Elephas maximus indicus: one gene and its partner. The protein of the gene in region 1 purifies or fractionates together with the protein of each later gene. This does not show direct contact. Links are inferred from orthologs where the notes say so. Each region holds a gene or a part of one and is shown in the gene's direction. Other genes may lie near its edges. The genes, in order: NUFIP1 and ZNHIT6.

Region 1 (10,223 bases):
CAGATTTGCCTAATGCAATATGTTGTCTGATTTCTTGACTGTTGCTTCCATGGGCATTGATTGTGACTCCAAGTACAATGAAATTCTTGACAATTTAATGTATTTTCTCCATTTATCATGATATTGCTTATTGGTTCAGTTCTAAGGATTTTTGTTTTCTTCATGTTGAGGTATAATTCATACTGAAGGCTGTAGGCTTTGATCTTCATTAGTAAGTGCTTCAAGTCCCCTTTGTTTTCAGCAAGCAAGGTTGTATTATCTGTATATCGCAGGTTGTTAATTAGTCTTCCTCCAATTCTGATGTTACATAAAAATTTCTTTTTAAAAGGAAATTTTATAGTTTGTTTAGCCACTTCGATAATATCTTAAAGAAAATTCTTTAGATAAAAACTAACTGAAATTCCAGATACCTTCACAGCTATACATTACTAGAATAAATTTCTCTGTAAAAAGTGAAGTTCGTGATAAGATGCCACGTGAAAAGTTATCTTCCTGTGCTCTATAAATACAGATCTGATATTCCTTTACTGGCTATCTGTTGCAGCCAACTTACACTAGGTTTGCAGGTTGGTTTATCATTTAAGTAAGTGACTGACCTTGCAGTTGGACCAGTGTCATCTTCTTCAGACTCCTGATTTCCTTCTTCGTACAAAGAACTACTGTCCTCATCGCTGTCTGATGAATCCGAACTACTGCTTTTATAATTAGGGGGCAAAGCTGGTCCTGCAACTGAAGAGGATTTATTGCGTACGTCATAACTAACCACGACTGCTCCCATGAACCCTCTAGCTGGCACTTCTCACTCCCTTTCTGCAATTTATAGCACTGGCTGTCTATCATTTGCTATGAACTTTACTATCATTTGCTAATGTTTTATGTACGGTGGTTTTGCCTCCCAATTACATTGTTATTCCAGGAAGGCAGAAATCATGTCTTACATAGTATAACTAGGACATAGTCACAAGAGCTTTGCTAATATTCAAATTTATAAATTTAGCAACAGCATGTAATTTCCCTGACAACATACAATTTTTGTATTCGTTGGTGCACTTGCCAAAAGTCTCATGGTTTTTTTTTTTTTTTTATAGACAGCATATGGTAGACATATTTATGTCAAAGAGTTAACCTGATAATAAATGTACTATTCTGTACCTGAATATATCAAGAATCGAAATGATCTATTCTGGTTTCTGACTAAGAACTACTACTTAAAAAAGTATCCTTACTGGCATCACCATTTTCTTTTCAAGATGACTCTGCAAGCAGAAACAAAATTACAGTGATGCTAGGTTTTACTGTTCACCAACAGAGAGACACAGAAGAGAAAGAGTCACACCAGGAAGGGGATGCCGGGAAAGTGGTAAGGGTCTCGGGCCCCCTCCCAGAGTGACTTAGTCTCACTTTACATCTCAACAAAATGACAAATAACTGCATGATGGATGGTGTCACATAGACACGACTGTCTATGTTGATCCTGACAAGTGATGCTTCAAGTCTATTACCATAGCTTGCCATAGCTCCTAAGCCTGAATATTTTTCAGGATCTCCAAAATATTTCTTAAAAAAAAAAAAAAGGATCCCTGGGCCCTTTCCCCAGATTCCGATTCAACTGGTCTCGAGTGGGACCTGGATATACGATTTTCCCAGGTATGCCACTCATTCAATAGTAATAATGAAAATTTAAAAATAGTAAATATAAGAAAAATAACACGTTTTGAGTTCCTATGTGCTATGTACTCTTTAAGAAATTTAGGTGCATTAATCTACTTACTCCTCACACCAACTTTATTAAGGAGATGTTATTATTTGCATTTTACGGATGAAGAAACTGAGGCACAGAAAGGATAACTAAGTTGTCCATCTTCACACACTAAATAGTGAAGCTGAGATAGTTTGGTATCTGAGCTTTTACCCTTAACTGTTAAACTACTCAACATTCAACAAACAGTTCACACCCATCCTCCAACAAACATTTATGGACTAAACGCTTCTTGAGAAACAAACATAAAAAGAAGCAAATAAGATCAATTCCAGAAAACAGGGATAAGGTAACTGTAGATATGTGGGAGGGTAGCTTTAAAAACAGCAGTCAGGGAAGGAGTCTCTGAGAAGATGGCATTTGAATGGTGACGCGCATGATGAGATGACAGTGGCCATGCGACAGTCTGAGGAAAGAACATTCCAGAGAAAGGAACCAAAACCCACTGCCGTCGAGTCAATTCTGACTCATAGCGACCCTAAAGGACAGAGGAGGACTGCCCTATAGGGTTTCCAAGGCATAATCTTTACAGAAGCAGACTGCTACATCTTTCTCCTGCCTAGTGGCTGGAGGGTTTGAAGAGCTGAGCTTTTGGTTAGCAGCCAAGGGCTTAACCACTGCACCTAGAGAGAGGAACGGCCAGTGTAAAAGTCCTATGGGGGAACAAGCTTGATGTGCTTGAGGGACAAAAATGCCAGTGTGGCTGAAGCAAAGTAAGCAAAGAAGATGAAGGTGCCTGGTACAAAGGGGCTAGCATGTACACTTCGGAGTCAGATTCCTTGGCTTTGAATTCCAGCTCAGCCATGTATTAGCTGTGTGATTTGGATAAGTTATTTAACCTGTGCTATTTTCTTCCTCTCTAAAATGAGGTTGATAATAATTCCAACCTTATATAGTTGTTGTGAAGATTACATAAGCTAAGACATGCATTTAGCACAGTATCTGGCATACACTATGCACTCAAGAAATGCTGTAACAGGCTAGAACAGTTTGGATATTATTTAATTACAACAGGCAGTCATTGGAGGTTTTAAGTAGGGAGAGACATGATCTGAATTACCTTTAAAAAGAAATGCTTGTGGACAATAGACATAGGGGTCAGGAGTAGGGGAGCTGAGTTAGAAGCTAATATAAAGTGGTTAAATTTGCAACAAATTTTGAAGGAAGAGCAAATAGTACCTGCTAGTCATCTGGATGGGAGCGATGAGACAAAAAGAGGAGCTAAGGAAGACTCTTAGGTTCCTGGCATGATTGGCAAGCCAGAGGGATGGTAACACCATTCTCTAATATGGTGAAGGCTAGGAGTGGGAGAAGATTTGGGGGGAAGTCAAGAGCTTTGTTTTCACATCTTAAGTACAAAAGCACACAAAATCGAATCTGTGCTGCTATTAAGTCAGGACAATGGTTACCCTTTGGTTGCAGGGGTGGGTGGAGAGGCAAACAGTAACCGGATAGTGGTCCAAGGGGAGCCTCTATGGCTGCTAATGTTCTATTTCTTGATCCTGATGCTGGTATCACAGGTATCTTCATTTGATGAAATTTTATCAATCTTTAAATTTTTTATATGTATACTTTTTTGTATGTTTACTGTACTTCATAAAAAGGTTTAAAAAATGCAATTTCACCAGAAGCCACAAAAGTTAAAAAAAAAAAAAAAATGGAGAATATTGTTACCAATAAACTTCTTAAAAGCCCAGAATACACTAATGTGAATAAAAGAATAATGTGGAAAAAAATGATATCTGCAGAATTTTAGGGATCTGTTTTAGATGAAACATCTGGGAGGTTATAATGTGAATGGAATTATAGCATAGAGGATTATGTGCTAAAAATGGCCAACTTTGTGCAAGATATTGTGCTTGGTGAAACAGGGAAGTCTTTCAACAAATATCTACCAAAGAGCTTTTATGTGCTAGGCACTGACCTGAGTTGAAGTAAACACTCCTTTCAGGTAGAAGGAGATACACATATGTCTACAGGCACAATGTGTTAAGTGCTTAAAGAATTAAAAAAAATAAAAAAAAGTAAACTGATAAAAGTGAGTCATAATAGAAGTATCTATTTGGGAGATGGTGGTTCGTTTAAAATCAGAAAATACGGTGAACCAGAAACAACATACACATAGGAACCCAGCCACAAAACTTGGTTAACTACATTTTTCTTCAGCCTTAGTTGAATGGAACCTTCCTTGCTAAAAGAAAAATCTATCGCCCTGGAGTTGATTCCGACTCACAGAAACCCTACAGGACAGAGTAGAGCTGCTCCATAGAGTATCCAAGGCTGTAATCTTTACAGAAGCAGGCTGTCACATCGTTCTCCCGCAAAGTGGCTGGTGGCTTTGAACCACTGACCTTTCCATTAGCAGCCAAGCTCTTTAACCACTATGCGACAGGGCATGGCATTTCAATGGCTATAACAGAAATGAGACCTGGAAGGAAAACCTCTAGGTAAAACATGGCCTAGGGGTAATCAAAGCACAAACATTAGATCCAGAAACAGAAAGATGACTCTTTCAGTTTACTTTTCTCCAACTATAGTGCCAATCTCAATCTACTATTTAGAACAAACATAGATATACTTGGAGGAGTCTAAGAAGCATTTCTTTGGCAAGTACCAAATGCCTACTATGTGTTTAGGTTGGAATTCCACAGTGCAGTGGTGGAGACAGATATGCTAACAAATAATTCAAATACAATGCATTAAATATGTGATGGAATTAAGTAGGGAAAACCTATGGGCAAAGAGGAAGGTGTGACAATGCTTGGGAGGGTTTGGAAAGGCTTCATTAAGATGACACCCAAGTTGGAGGTCTTGAAGGATGAGTAGGAATTTGTCAGGTGTGTAACGAAGTGCAGGAGAATAAGGGCAGAAGGAGCCTAGAGCACTGAGGAACTGTACAGAAACGTGGTCTGGCTTGAACACTGAGCGCGCACGCGTGTGTGACATAAAAACAAAATGAGAGGTTAGGAAAACGGGGTTGGGGCTAGAGAGCCAAGAGTCTTCTGGGAAAGCCAAGAGTCTCGTCCTCAGAAGGCAATAAATACGGCACAGAGGTTAGGAGCACAGGCTCCACTGTTCCAATTCGGGCTCCACCACTTACTAGCTGTGTGATCTGGGCACCCGTTGGATCCTTGGTTTCTCTGTTTGTAACATGGGAATGACAATAATTTTTACCTAGTTCCCGAAAGTATTAAATTATTGAACATGTGTCGACCGTTCAGTACAGCGTCCGGCTCATATTAAGCGCTAAATGAAAATACATCATCGTTATGATTACCAGGCCAAAGCTCGCGCAACGCACCCTACTTTCTGAGGAGGCCCCCACGACCACCTCCCTACTGCTAGGGCTTGGGAGGGAAAGTTGGCTGCGCTCACTCCCAGCGGCTCCGTCCTCCCACTCAGGCCTCTCCTCAGAGAGCCAGCCCCGGCCAGAGAGGTGGTGGACAGGCCTGGCGGGCAGGGGACACGCCGCCGCTTACCCGGGCTCGGGTCCCTCTCCTCGTCCTCCGCTGTCCCGCGGGCGTTGAAGCCGGGCGGGAGCGCCGGCCCGATCAGGTCTCTCGCCATCCGCGGTGGCAGGAGCTAATCACGCACACAAATCTGTTCGCGCGGAATGAAACCCACCCAAAAGGCAGCCCGCGATCCGTCACCGATGCCGGAAGTTTTTCCGGCGCTGACAAATGACGTTTCGATTTGTGGTTGGCTGTGCCGTATAATACAAGATAACGGAAGTGACGCTAAAAGCTTGTTCCGCATTCGCCTGCAAGAGTTTCCACCTGGTGGGTCGCATGGCTGAATCCGCGAGCGGTTTCGTGACTCCGTCGGGATGGATTCCACCCCCCGAGTTGACTCCCACGTTGGGGCCTCTGAATAACACTACCCCGATGCGGGACAACTGGATGCTCTGGGCAATGATGCCGCCGCCGCCACCTCCGTCGTCTCATCCTACACCCGGATCAGGGCTTTCCTCGGAGTCACAGCCCTCCCGGGAGGTCCAGGCGCTCCCCGGGGTGCCGCCCCCCTTCGACGCCCAGCTTCTTCCCGGGGCGCAGCCCCCCTTCGACGCCCAGTCCCCTCTTGATTCTCAGCCTCAACTCAACGTCCAGCCTTTCTGGAATTACCAGGCTTCGACATCGTGGTACTGGAGACAGCCTCCTGATGATACTTTTCCTAAGCATCAGAAGTCCCACAACTCTTCTGGTAGGCTGTTTTTCCTTGTGGTATCACCCCTTTCTTCTCTCTCCCATTTCTCCATTTTCTCTCTCTACATCTGGTTCTTCTCTGCACTCTTGGAGTCTGGTCATTAGTGTCCCATACCGTGTACGACTGGTATGTTTTTCCCGCTTGTTCATTTACTGTAGCAGATTTGTATTGAGTTCTCACTATGTACCAGTAACTGGAAACAGCAGTGGACAGAACATACAAAAATCCTTGTTTGTGGAGCGTAACAGCTCCCTAGTGTGGGAAGACAGACAATAATCAAAATATTTACGTTGTGTATTAGAAGATGAAAAGTGTTCTTTTTTTGGAAAGAGGTGAAGCAGTAAAGAATGATAGGTAGAGCGAATTTAAATAGGCTGGTCATAGAAGGCCTCATAAGGAAGGCAACATTTGAGCAAAGACTTCAGGGATCAGAGCCACAGATATATGGGGGGGGGGGGGGAGGCATATAGGCAAGTGCAGAAGCCTTGGGGCAAATGCTGTAAAACAGAATGGATAAGATCAATCTGACTAGAAAGAACAGAATTCGTGGTAGAATTGTAGAAGATGAAGAAAGAGGGCTGACCTTGAAGGGCCTTGTAGACCATTAATGGAACTTTGACTTATACTCTTGTGAGATGGGTAGCCATTGATAGGTTTTGTGGAAAAGAGTGACATGATTTGATTTATGTAGTAGAAGGATTAATCTGGCTGGTGTGATAGGAACTGAGTGTAAGGGAGATTGGCAAGATCGTTAAAATTACCCAAGCGAGAGATAGGACCAGGATAGAGCTCTGGAGGTAATGAGAAGTAGTCAGATTGCAGATATATTTGGAAGGTAGGGCCAACATGATTTGCTAAAGGATTAAATGAGGAGTGTGAGATAAAGAAGAGGCAAGGATGACTTAAGGTATTTTGCCAGACAAAAAAGGAACTGAGATGGGGAAGGATATGGATGGAACAGATTTGGAAGGGTAGGCCAGGAGTTGAGTTTGGAATATGTTAGCGCCAAGAAGAGCTACATGTAGACTGTTAGCTATGAGTCCGTACTTTCAATGGAGATGTGTGTGGCACTATAAATTTGGGCATCATCAGCATATAGATGATATTTAAAGCCATGTGCTAGTTAATTCTGCATGAGGTTCAATTTAGGCTAAGTGGAATTCAAATGTGTACTTAATTGATATCATACTGTATGCCAAATGGTGGAGATATGAGTGGGACTAAGACAGTCCAAAGACAGGTGATAAAGTTTCATAAATACAAATCACAATGCAGTGCGACTGGTGATACCAAACCAAACCCATTGTTGTCGAGTTGATTCCGACGCACAGTGACCCTATAGGGCGGAATAGAGCTGCCCCATAGGGTTTCCAGGGAGTGGCTGGTGGATTCGAACTGCCGACCTTTTGGTTAGCAGCCAAGCCGTTAACCACTGTGCCACCAGGGCTCCTGACTGGTGACAGAGGCACGTAAAAGATGATTTCAGAGTGCAGAGGAAATTGGGGAAAGCTTTTGCAGGAAGTGTCTTAGGAGCTGTGTAGGATCTGGAGGATGTACTTTCTCTGCGGAGGCAAACAGTTGTCAGTACAAGGTGGGCTCTGTAGATTGCAGTGTTCTAGTGTGACTGAGATGGCAGTGATGCCAGTGGTCATGCTAGAAGTCTTACCTCCCATGCAGGGGACCTGGGTTTGATGCCCAGCCAATGAACCTCAAGTGCAAGCAACCACTTGTCTGTCAGTGGAGGTTTGTGTGTTGCTGTGATGCCGATCAGGTTTCAGCTGAGCTTCCAGACTAAGACAGATTAGGAAGAAAGGCCTGGCCATCTACATTCAAAACTCAGCCAGTGAAAACCCTATGGATCACAGTGGCCTGCCGAATCTGCAACCCATTGTGGGGGTGGTGTAGGACTGGACAGCGTTTTGTTCTGTTGTGTACGGGGTTGCCGTGAACGAGGGGTGGGGACAACTCAAAGGCAGCTAACGAGTGTGATTGCATCGGATTATGTAGTGGTGGGGTGCGGGGGCGGGGATGTGTAAGGGAGGGTGAGAAAATGAACTGGAATCTCAATGAAGGACTCAAGGAAGCTATTTGCAGATTTTTGAACAGGGCAGTGACATGATTGGAGACTATTTTTGTGGTGTTGGTCTACAGGGTCAGTTGAAGAGGAAAGGCTTAAGAACTGGAAGACAGTCTAGGAAGTTATAATAGTAATCTAGGTGAAAGATCAGAGTTTCTGAGTTGGATGATGGCAGTGATAATGGAAAGAGGCAGTGGGATTTGAGAGAAGATGTGTTTTACAAGGCTGTGTTTTCTTGATATTAGATTGATGCTGGAATAACTGTATCAGGGATTTCATTTTAATATTTGAAATAACTGCAAGGAATTTCATTTGGTAAGATTATCCATTTCTGTACTTAGAGATACCTAAATCCATTCCACTGCTGTTGAGTTGATTCCGACTCATAGTGACCCCATAGTGTTCCCAAGGCTGTAAATCTGTGGAAGCAGACTGCCACAACTTTCTCCTGAAAAGCTGCTGATGGAGCCTGAGACCAGAAGAACTAGGTGGTGCCCGGCTACAACCAATGACTGCCTTGACAGGGAACACAACAGAGAACCCCTGAGGGAGCAGGACAGCAGTGGGATACAGACCTCAAATTCTGATAAAAAGGGCAGACTTAATGGTCTGATTGAGACTAGAAGGCCCCAGAAGTCATGGTCCCCAGATCTTGTGTTAGCCCAAGACAGGAACCATTCCCAAAGCTAACTCTTCAGACAGGGATTGGACTGGACTATGGGATAGAAAATGATACTGATAAAGAGTGGGCTTCTTGGATCAAGTAGACACATGAGACTCTGTGGGCAGCTCCTGTCTGGAGAAGAGATGAGAGGGCAGAGGGGGTCAGAAGCTGGCAAAATGGACACGAAAATAGAGAGTGGAGGGACGGAGTGTGCTGTCTCATTAGTGAGGGAGAGCAATTAGGAGCGTATAACAAAGTGTATTTAAGTTTTTGTATGAGAGACTGACTTGGTTTGTAAACTTCCACTTAAAGCCAATAAAAATTAAAAAAAAAAAAAAGCCGCTGATTGTTTCGAACCGTCCACCTTTCTGTTAGCAGTTGATTGCTTTGACCACTATGCCACCAGGGCCCCCTAAACCCGTTGCCATCGAGTTGATTCCAACTCATAGCGAGCCTGTAGGACAGAGTAGAACTGCCCTGTAGGTCTTCCAAGGAGCAGCATGTGGATTCGAACTGCCGACCTTTTGATTAGCAGCCATAGCTCTTAACCAGTGTGCCACCAGGGCTCCAGATGCCTAAATAGGGGCATGTAATCTCATCAGTTTTTATTCATTTGAAAAATGTTTATTTGGTAGACTTGTCTTATTTTTGTTAATTTATTTGAATTTGGACTGCTATTCTTCCTAGAAGGACTAGTTTAGCAGAGCTTTTCTTTAGATATTTGTAACTTTTTTAGCAAATAAAATTTTAAACGATTGTGTGGTTCCAAACATTGATAGATCTCTTTGTTTTTTTCAGTTGAACATTCCTTTTTTCCACGAAAATATGATGCAAATGGCAATGATTTCAACTTCCCTCCCAGTAGAAAACAGAAAAAAAAGGTATTTTTTAAGATGTTCTTGAATGTGACACCTTAGTCCCTTTGTCACTTTTTCATGTCGTGCATTTCTCTCATAACTATCTCAGTGTTTTGCATCCATTATTGATGCAGCAGAGCTTTGCTCTAATAGGATCTTATCTGTAGGTAAAAGCTTTAAACAAAATCTGTGTGAGGAAAAAAAAGGGAGAAATTGTGCAGAAAGGACTGATAGAAAGCATGAATCCATTTCGTTATACAATCAAGAGTAAAAATAACTACGAGTTACGATTATAGAATGAGGCAAATATTGTTAAACCTTGACAAAGTAAGCAATAATATTACTAGTAGATTAGGAGAGGAAGGAGGAAATTTAAGGAGGATAGAACTGTAAGTTTTTTATTTTATGAAATTGGAAGCATGAAATTAAGAATAAACTATAATGACACAAACCTTTTGTTTTTTCATAATTTTTCTTTTTAACATAGGTCATTTAGGAAATTATGTTCTGTGTTTAAAAAAATACTTCCTTTAGTTTCCTGTAAATTCAAGTAAAACTAAATTTAATGTTTTAAATTTGAAATAGTTTATATATAGTCATCCTCTATGCATAAAGTAATATCTGAAGTTATTTCTGAGTGCCAGGATTTTTTTGTGTTATTTT
Region 2 (10,355 bases), on another chromosome or scaffold:
GGCAAAATAGTTTAGCACATTAAAATAAAGCCTAAAACAGACAGAAAAAATTTTTTTTAATTCTATCAACTTCATCTGAAATACACTTTCTATAGAAACAGAGTTACCACAAATCTAATAAATGTAAACTTTAGAGTTCTAAAGCAGCCTTCAAAACGTAACATAAACATGCATTTCTGTCTGTAAAGTCTGCAAAAGTACAATAATTTTTAGTTCTTTTTTCATAAAGAAGACCCCCAAAATTGTACGAGCTTCAGGCCTCATAAGACCTGGCTCTGTCCTTGCTAATATATGTGGTTCTTCCTGTAGGAAGCAAAAAAAAAAATTTTTTTGATTGACGGTTGTGCAATAAACCAAGAAAGAGAATGCTGCTAGTGACACAGAAAATCACTTGAGAATAGGAACAAGGTTTTTGGCAGCAGACACTTCGGCAAACCACATGTCCTGACCAAAATGTATGAGATGTCCCTCACACACAGGGTTAGTATTTTTTATCATATCATTTCGCAAGAATAAGCTAGTCTTTCAACGTATAGTGCCTTGCCCTGTTAAAAATAATAGCTTTTTCTTCATGGTCTATATAGTAATTGACTATGATAGGTATGATGAAGTCATTATCATCTCAGCCTAGGTACATAATTACACAATCTGTGTGCTTTGGATTCAGAGTCCTGGCATAATTCAGTGCCAAGTTAGAAAAGTGGCACCTCTATAGAAAATAGCAATTGATGGGGAATCTGAGCTATAATATAGACCTTACCTAGCAGTGGAATTTTAGGACTCCACACAAATACAAAAAATAATCTCAGTAATAATCATTAAAAATAACTTTCTAGGTATATAGTTCAGGACAAATTTAGAGTTGAAATTTAAGATAACTTCTCACTCCTTGAAGTAAATACCAGAAATCTAGTTTCATGAATAGGGATAAGGAGATCACCATGAACTATTAGAAAATAAAAATTTTATTTGAACTTTATTAACATTACATTCCATTTTTTTCACTTGAGTGTTATCAATTTGTAAAAGAGGGGTCAACCACTTAACTACCAATACTAACACAAGATACTATAGTAAAACCTGTGAAAGCCAAAGCCTGTGTAAAGCAGAAACCTATCAGAGAAGAAAAACTTAAATAATATTTTCCACTAAAATGAGCAACAGAAAAGTAGTAAGACTGCACCCTCTCAAAGGTGGAAAATTTGGGAGATTCAGAAGCACAAGGCAGTTCTGTTGAGTTCTGGCTCTCACAGTTTTCACTGTATATAAAACATCCACAGTTAAAATCATTTTTAAATGTTCCCAAATATTTCCTACATAATTTAACATATCACAGAAAAATAGTATGTCTTTTTCTTTCAAGTCTTCATACAGTGAAAAAAACAAAACAAAACAAAAAAACTTTGTACAAAGCTTAATTAGTATAGACTGGCAAAGTTTTTATGTATGAGTCATAATGAACTCAGTGGCAATAGGTTTAGCAAGTTTTCGATTTAATGGAAGTGAGAAAACAGTAAGAATTTATTCAGCTTGGTTTCAGAACTAGTAAAACTTGCTACTTTTAGGCTTCAGGCATTAAAAAAAAATATATTTAAAAATATTTTTATAAATCTATCTCACACACTTCTCTGCAGCAAATATTATGCCTTCCGTATCAGGTCCTGGTTATCTCTAATGGTAATGACGCAGTTGTGGATCCTTCTAAAGGCTTCTCGATTATGATTGAAGCTCTTGAATCATGATGTATTTGTTGTTTGAAATTATCCTTTTGCCAATAATAGATTCAGCCAAATCTTTGGTCCCCTGCTTAAGAATAATCATGCCCACAATCGACCTGTGGTTCCTTCCATGACCATTTCTGTGCTCCAACCTTGGAACCTCAGCTCAGGAAATTAATCTGGCTCCCTTTTACCTACAGTATGAATAAGTGCAAGCTCCTTTGCATGGCCTAAAAGGTATTGATGAACTGATTAACAGTGAAACTTGTGAACTTGACGGGACTACCTTGTTTTCCAAGTCTCGAAAGTTTTCCACCTTTGACAGGGTGAGCTCTTACCCCTTTTCTATTGCTCGTTTTAGTGGAAAATAGCATTTAAGTTTCCTTCCCTGACAGATTTCTGCCTTACGCAGGTTCTTGTTTTGCAGGTTTTACTGTATTAATGAATATATAGTTATAACTTAGAATTAGTGCTTTAAATTAAACACACACATGCAACCACCACCACCACCTAGGCTGGAGCCAAGGAGGGGAGTGGCCAAGGAATGCTTCTCCAGGGAAGTAGTGCTTGAGTTGCCATCTGAAGGATGAGTAATTGAGATAAGGTTGGAGAGCAGACATGGGCCAGAGTATGAGGGCTCTTTTCAAGGACATAGTAAGGATTTAGTGCTTTATCCTAAAAGCAACAATTAGGCATTGAATGGTTTTAAGGAGGTTACTCACATGATCAGATTTGTGATTTGTAAATATGCTCAGATTGGAGAATGGATTGAAGAGATAAATATTTATTAACTGAATTACCCGAATTATAAGCAAACTAATTATGCTCAGCTAACTGAATATTCACTTTATGTTAATCCCTTCTCATTGAAATTTGAATTTTAATATCATCTTCTACTGCAGCACTGTGCAACAGAGATATAATGTGAGATGCATATGTAATTTAAAATTTTCTCGTAGCCACATTAAAAACAGTAAAAAGAAAGGGGTGAAATTAATTTTAATGTTTTATATAACCCATTATATCCAAAATGCTATCGTTTTGACATATAATCTAATAGATTATTAATAAGATAGTTTACATTCTTTTCTTGTTTTGGAAAAAGCACATCTCGATTCTGATAACTACATTTCAAGTGCTCGATAGGCACTGTGGATAGTGGCTCCCATATCAGACAGTCCAGTTGTAGGATCTTCACCTACTGGCTCCCAAACATGGCTGCATATCGGAGCCACTACACAGAAATACTTGGTTAAAATATAGATTTCCCAGCAGCTCTCTCTATTTTGATTAACTACGTCTAGGGAGAGATCCAAAAACCCATTTTGATCAAGTGCTATGAGTCAGAATCGACTCTACAGCAGTGGCCTTGGTTTGGTTTGTACCAGGTGATGTTGATGAAGCGGTTGATTACTGCATTACCTCAAAGTTGTGAATAAAATGAAACTTTTCAGCATTCTGGGAGAATTTGAGCAACACAATGGGAAACCCAGTGGGAAGATATTTGGGACACACCTCAAACCATTTCAGAACATTCATTACCATACACTATTGCTGAAGGAAACCCTGGTGGCCTAGTGGCTAAGTGCTATGGCTGCTAACTGAAAGGTCGGCAGTTGGACTCCACCAGGCACTCCTTTCAAACTCTATTGGGTTGCTGTGAGTTGGAATCAACTCCATGGCAATCGGTTTGGTTTTGGTTTTATTGCTGAGAAGTTCAATCCGAAAGCTTTCAGTTCCTGAAAAGGAAGCAAACTAACAAAATGGCTGCCTCCCCCCCCAAATACAATCCCGAAAAGGTCATGTAACTGTGAGGAGGAGGATTGATCTCAGAATCTAATTCAGAAGCTCTGAGGAATCCCTAAGAAATGGAAGGGAGTTTGATCCCATTGCGGTGGGAGTCAAAGAAGGACACCAATGGAAGGGTAGGGGTTGGAATGAAGGAATAGAATCTCCGTGCCTTTTTTTTACTCTACACTGCCCTGGTAGGATTACAGCCAACTTCAGTGCAAGATGGGGCATAAAAGCAGCAGCACCTACCAACTCAGCACCTACCCAAGAAGGAAGAGAAATGTCAGGAAAGCCGATAAACATGCATAAAGGTTGGTTTGAAACAGTTCTTCTTTGCCTACTTCTTACCCAGTGGTCTAGCTGGCTACCACAAAGGACGGTAACCAAAAAAAAAAACCAAAACCTATTGCCCTCTAGTGCATTCCGACTCATGGTGACACTATAGGACAGAGTAGAACTGCCCCATAGATTTTCCAAGAAGTGCCTGGTGGATTTGAACTGCCAGCCTTTTGGCTAGCAGCTATAGCACTTAACCACTACCCCACCAGGGCTTCCACTAGCTCTTAGGAATGGCAAATGCAGGGTTACAGAGAGGTAACCTAAGGGGCATGTTCTCCTCATGGGAGTGGAGGGCAGGTTGGGACTTACAGGAGTCCACATTGTGACACCAGAGACTTTCTACCCTGAGGCTTTTTACCGCATCTCCTCCCTATCCCCCTCCCAGACAGACAGACAGACAGACAGACAGACAGACACACACACACACACACACACACACACCTGACCAGAAGAGTCACATTCCAAGTCTTAGCGATTTGATCCTCTTTTTCAAATACACCTGAGAGCTAAGGCTGCTGATACTCCCAAGGGAATATGAGATCACAGGGGAAAACACTGCAACATTTGAGGAGTATAATCCCACAAAACCAAAAAACCAAACCAGTTGCTGTCAATTCCAACTCATGGTAGCCTCATATATTTCAGAGTAGACCTGTGCTCCACAGGGTTTTCAACGGCAGATTTTTTGAAGTAGATCGCCAGGCTTTTTTCTGAGGGGCCTCTGGGTGGACTGGAACCTCCAGGTTTTCGGTTAGCAGCCAAGCTAGTTAATCATTTGCACCACTCAAGGGCCCAGTAATAACAGCCACCATATATTGAGTTTGTGTCAGTCCTTGCTAGATTTCCATGCACAATTTTATTCATTCTTCACAACACTAAGAGATTTGTATTATCATTGCCTATGCTAGCGTATAGTCATCACGGGGACGGCACAAGACTTCGGTTGTGCACGGGTTCGATTGTGCTTGGGGTCGTCATGAGTGGGCAAACTCCATGGCAACTGACAGCAGTGTGTACGTGAAGAAACCGAAGCTCCGAGAATTGTAACATCAGGTGAACCCTCCATTTTTTCACAAGATTAGATTTAATCGTTAATACAGATTAGCGTGGGACTTCACATTTCAAAACTGAAAGGGTGTCGCTTCTTTTCCTTCCCTCAATCTTTGCACAACAGGCGAGGCGAGGGGAGGTGTTCCGCCGATGGAAGGGTTGAGGCGGCCCCGCCCCAGGAATAGGGAGTGGCTAAACCCCGCCCGGGAAGGCGGGAGTTACAGTGGGCGTGGCCTCGCGCTGTTTCTCACAGAGGAGTCGGGGAGGACCTCCAAAGAGCCGTAAAGAGCTCTACCAGTCGTGAAGTGCTGAGGCGCGGGAGCGTTGCTTTACGACGAATTCAGTGATCTCGGCTGCTCCGCCCTGCACGTGTGCTGCTGTCGGTATTTGGATCGGTAATTCATTCCTGGCGTGGAAGCGGCCACATTCGGGACGGAGTGGTAGCAGAGGTCAACATCCGTGAGTTGATGGAGTTTGCTGCTGAAAATGAAGGGACTCCGGGAGGAGATTGCATGAGTGGAGCAGTGGGGGCGCGGCTAAGACCCGGGTCGTGTAGGGAGGAAGTTTTTGCAGGGATGGCGGAGGCCTGCGGTGGAGAGGAGGGGAATGGGCTGACAGGAATGGAGAAAACAAGGGTTGGAGGAGAAGGAAGTGGACAAAGGCAAAAGGACATGCGAGTGGACCTGAAGGTTGTGAAGCAAGAAATAACAGACTGGTCAGAAATAGAAGAATGCAAGTTAGATGCATGGTGGGTGAAGCAAGAGGTGGAGAATGGGCCTGAGGTGAAGGATGAGAAAACGGGCACACTGGAGGTGAAACAGGAGATGGATGCTAGTTTGGTGATAAAAGAAGAAAAGATGGATGAACCAGAGATAAAGGAAGAGAAAGTGAAGGTTAAGGAAGAGGTTATGGACTGGCTAGAAGTGAAGGAAGAGAAGGAGGTTAAATTTGAGATTAAAAAAGAGGAGATGTTGGCTGACCAAAACATAAAAGAGGAGGAAATGATGGATGCATTTTGTGTAAAAGAAGAGAAGGATGTCCTGAAAAAAGAAGTGATGGATGATACAAAGGTGAAGGAAGAGCGTGAGATCAGCCCCCCAGTGAGCTGCAAGAGGAAACTGGCCATGTCAAGGTAGGTTGGGGGGAAATCTGATTGGGGGGAGTAAACCAAAAAAAAAACCAAACCCGTTGCCCTCGTGTGGAGTCGATTCCAACTCGTGGGGACCCTATAGGACAGAACAGAACTACCCCATAGAGGTTCCGAGGAACACTTAATGGATTCGAACTGCCGACCTTTTGGTTAGCTTCTGTAGCTCTTGACCATTAAGCAACCAGGGTTTCCATGAATAAGCAAACAACTGGGAAATATAAAGGTGGCAATTGTTTAGTACTTAATTCAATTTTCCATGTTTAGTGGCAATGTATTTGTGTGGCCAATGCCAAAAATCTGCCCATTCTCATAAGCATGATGGTGAGAATTATGTAATCTGCAGAGAACATTTTAGGCCAACCCTTTCTGCTTCTTGATTAGGCCAGGTTCCATCTGTCTCATAACTTTTGTGGAAGCTCATTACCTCCACCGGGAAAACTCCCCATCCACGCTTCTAAAAATTTTTACTTACTCTTCAGATCTCAGCTCAAATGTCGCTACCTCAGGGAAGCCTTCTTGACCTTCTTCTAACCTCTTACATCCTCCAGTCTTGATTAAAAACTCTGGGACAGCTCTGCTTTGTCCTACAGGGTCGCTATGAGTCAGAATCTACTCGACAGGTTTGGTTTTGGTAATTTCTCTGATAGTTCCACGTACTTTTCTTTCAGGGCATGTATCATAACTTGCAATTATGTACTGCTGAGATATTTGATTAATGCCTATCTCCCCATATAAACTTAAGCCCCACAAAGGCAAGTCACTTTTTTGTTTACTGTTGTATCCTGAACATGCATCACAGTGTTTGGCAGTATATATATATGTGTGTGTCTGTGTGTACATGCACAAAATGAGTCAATTCATTTACAATATAAAAACCACATGTTGAGTCAGGAATAGTGATTTTATTGATAGTTCATCTTTGTAAACAGTTTTTGAAATTACCACTCACGAATTATTGGAGACCTGTTGGAAACAGTTTGTATTGTCTGGTCCTGTGGAGTTCTCTGTTGTATAGAGTGAGGAAATTACCTGTAGGGGATGGAATAATGGTAAGTAGTACAAGTTTGGGTCCGTGGAGCCTGAGTTAGGCACCTGTTACGGGGATATAGAGGAGCAACAATGTTGAATGTTGTCAGTTGTTCAGTAGAATATGTGAGGTTGGTAATAAGTCAGATGGGCAGTGGCCAAGTTAGGAAATGAGAAGTCTGAGGACTGGAAAACCTTAATATGCTCTTAGCTTGGTATTTCTTTCAGAGAGGGTGGAAATGAGGAAAGATCTAATAAAACCAACAATGCTAGATATGATTACGTTACCATTAGACAAAAATGCACTTAAACTCAAGAGTCTAGTTTCTGTATGGGTAGTATGAATATTTATTGCTTTTGATGTGCTTTTTAGTTTCTTTATAGTGTATGATTATGTGACAAGATAGGAAATAAAAGAGTGGTTAGATTCTTGGGAATATTACTATGTAGAACACTGTGGGTCAAATAGAAGTAGCTGTAGTTCGACTGTCAGTACCCCAAGATCTGAGGAGAGCAGTTGAAGACATGTGGTGGGCGGTAGCATTTCTAGATTGTTTTGATGCTCAATCTGGGTTGGGTGTGGAGTAAGGAAAAAAGATGCAACTACTACTTTCTCTAAATTTGACTGGTTTAATATTCTTTTTCTAGTGTGTGTGCTTTTAAAATGTCTACACATAGCTCATGGATTGGGTTTCTGGATTCATACACATCCCATGCACATACACATACACGTATGAGATTATCAGGAAGTAAAAGTTAAAATATCAGTGAGTAATCTCATTCTTTGTGTATAGTAGAAAAAGCAGTAAAAATGAGATTTAAAAATTTTTAATACGTGTTTTCTTGAATTACATATTATTAACAACATTAGAAATGTAAGTGCTATTTGGTTTCAAAGAGGAAAGTTTTCAAACAATGCTTGACAGCTACCAAGTATTTTGTCAGACCTACCCTTGCATATACTCTATTCAGTATGACTACATGTCTGTAAATTGAGTGTGACAGGTAATTGAATCACATTCAAGTTTATAAATAGATAAGTAGAACTGATATTTTATAATTTAATAAATTACATGTTGGCTTTTGTAGGTGTGAAACTTGTGGTACAGAAGAAGCAAAGTACAGATGTCCACGTTGTATGCGATATTCCTGCAGGTATATGTGTAACTACTTACCTTTTTACTTCTATCTGTACCCTGGTGGCATAGTGGTTAAGTGCTAAGGCTGCTAACCAAGAGGTCAGCAGTTCGAATCCGCCAGGTGCTCCTTGGAAACTCCATGGGGCAGTTCTGCTCTGCCCTATAAGGTGGCTATGAGTCATAATCAACTTGACAGCAGTGGGTTTGGTTTGGTTTTTGGGTACACTTCTTACCACAAAGTATAAAAGTACTTCCTCTTTGTCCCTTCAGTTTGCCCTGTGTAAAGAAACACAAAGCGGAATTGACATGTAATGGAGTTCGAGATAAAACTGCGTTTGTTTCAATACAACAGTTTACTGAAATGAATCTTCTAAGTGGTAAGCCATGTTATGTATAACAGATTGATGTTTCCTGGCCATTGGATTAGGTCATTCATTTATTTTTCTATTTTGAAATTTTTAGATTATCGATTTTTGGAAGATGTGGCAAGAACAGCAGACTATATTTCTAGAGACACTTTTTTGAAAAGACCAATAGGAAATAAACATGTAAGTATTTTTTCTAATTGCTTCCAGTTATATGGGGCAGTTCTACTCTGTCCTATAGGGTCGCTATAAGTCAGAATCGACTCGACGGCACTGGGTGTGGGTGGGTTCCAGTTATAATTCCTTTCAATCAGTTAGGCTTATTCTTTTATTCAGTAAATTAAGTGGCTGCCACGATCCAGCACTATTCTAGTTATCTAGGAAGACACTACTGAACAAAATAAAGTCCTTCCCCTCGTGACGGTTGTAATGTAGTGGAGGAGATAGGAGAGATGAGAAGAGAAGCAAATATAATCTCAGAGTTAAGCACCTGCAGAAAATAAAGAAGTCTGTGGAGACAAAGAGAATGACAGTGGTGTGTGTGTGTGTGCTGGGGTTGTTTCAGGGTACTGTTTTGAGAGTAGTCAGGAAAAACTTCCCTGAAGAGGTGATGTTTAAGCAGTGATCTAAATGCGGGGAAAGAGACAGTCATGTGAACATTTCAGGGGAGATTATTCCAGATGGAGACCAGCAAAAGTAAAGTCCCCAAGTCAAGGAGCAAGCTCGGCATGTTTGAGGAATAAGAGGTGACTGAAGCATAGTGAGTGAGGAGAATTTTGAACATGAAGTTAGAGAAACAGATAAGGGCTGTTAATGTACCTTAAGTGAAAATGGAAGCCGTGAGAAGGTTTTGAGTGTTTTTGCTTTTTGAAAGATCTCTCTTGCTGCTATGTAGAGAATGGACTTTAGAGGGCAAGAGTGGAAGATTGGAAGCAGGGAGACTAATCAGAACTATTGGTTTTGGTACAGGCAAGAGATGATGGTAGCTGCGATAATACTGTTAGAATGATTAGATTCCAGTTTTAAAGGAAGAACTAACAGGACTTGGCCCTTTGCAATACATTTAGTTTTCCGTCTTTCATTTTCTTACGTACTAGACAAAATTTGAAGGTTACATACATACATATATGTAAACCAGAGTCCAAACTCATTGCTGTCAAGTCTAATTCCAACTCAAAGTGACCATATGAGACAGAATAGAACTTCCCCGTAGACTTTCTAAAGCTATAATCTTCACCATAGCAAATTGCCACATCTTTCCCCCACAGAGCAGCTGGTGGGTTCAAAACACTGACCTTTTGGTTAGCCCAGTGCTTAACTACTGCACCACCAGGGCTCCCTATGTATGTATGTATGTATGTGTGTGTGTGTGTGTATGTAACACTAGTATTCTAGAAATAGTAGTGTGATTAAATCAGATTATACTGGGTTATGTGCATTTTCCAGAAGCTATTTAGTGTTAAGAATTACAGAATTTTAATACCTTTTAAACACCTTTTTTTATTGGTATTTTTGGTACACACATGACAATACACATATCTAAAAGAAAAACTATCATGTGTCAACTCTTTATTTTTCATTTAGCTTAATTAGGTATAATGAAAATTCTCTTAAATTACTTTTCTATTATGAAATGCATAAAATGGGAAATGCAGTTTAATGAATAATCATAAAGTAAACATCCATGTAACTACCATCCAGATCTAGAATTAGATCATTACAAGCTGCCCAGAAGTTCCCTGCTACCCACTTATCTGTCCCTGAACCAGTGCTACCA

Evidence for each region.
Region 2: the proteins of NUFIP1 (region 1) and ZNHIT6 purify together in Homo sapiens (affinity purification with western blotting; 3 studies listed by BioGRID and IntAct, with this or other methods). This does not show direct contact. The link is inferred for Elephas maximus indicus from reciprocal best matches to the Homo sapiens genes NUFIP1 and ZNHIT6.

What each region holds. Positions count from the first base shown.
Region 1 is NC_064832.1:35,298,823-35,309,045, forward strand, and holds the start of NUFIP1 (FMR1-interacting protein NUFIP1), read left to right. Parts: upstream 1-5,523; 5' UTR 5,524-5,547; coding exon 5,548-5,959; intron 5,960-9,501; coding exon 9,502-9,584; intron 9,585-10,223. Other genes in the region: GPALPP1 (GPALPP motifs-containing protein 1), read right to left, coding at 597-729, 5,239-5,326. UniProt on the Homo sapiens protein: Binds RNA.
Region 2 is NC_064821.1:135,198,797-135,209,151, reverse strand, and holds the start of ZNHIT6 (box C/D snoRNA protein 1), read left to right. Parts: upstream 1-5,193; 5' UTR 5,194-5,365; coding exon 5,366-6,030; intron 6,031-8,163; coding exon 8,164-8,229; intron 8,230-8,483; coding exon 8,484-8,590; intron 8,591-8,675; coding exon 8,676-8,761; intron 8,762-10,355. UniProt on the Homo sapiens protein: Required for box C/D snoRNAs accumulation involved in snoRNA processing, snoRNA transport to the nucleolus and ribosome biogenesis.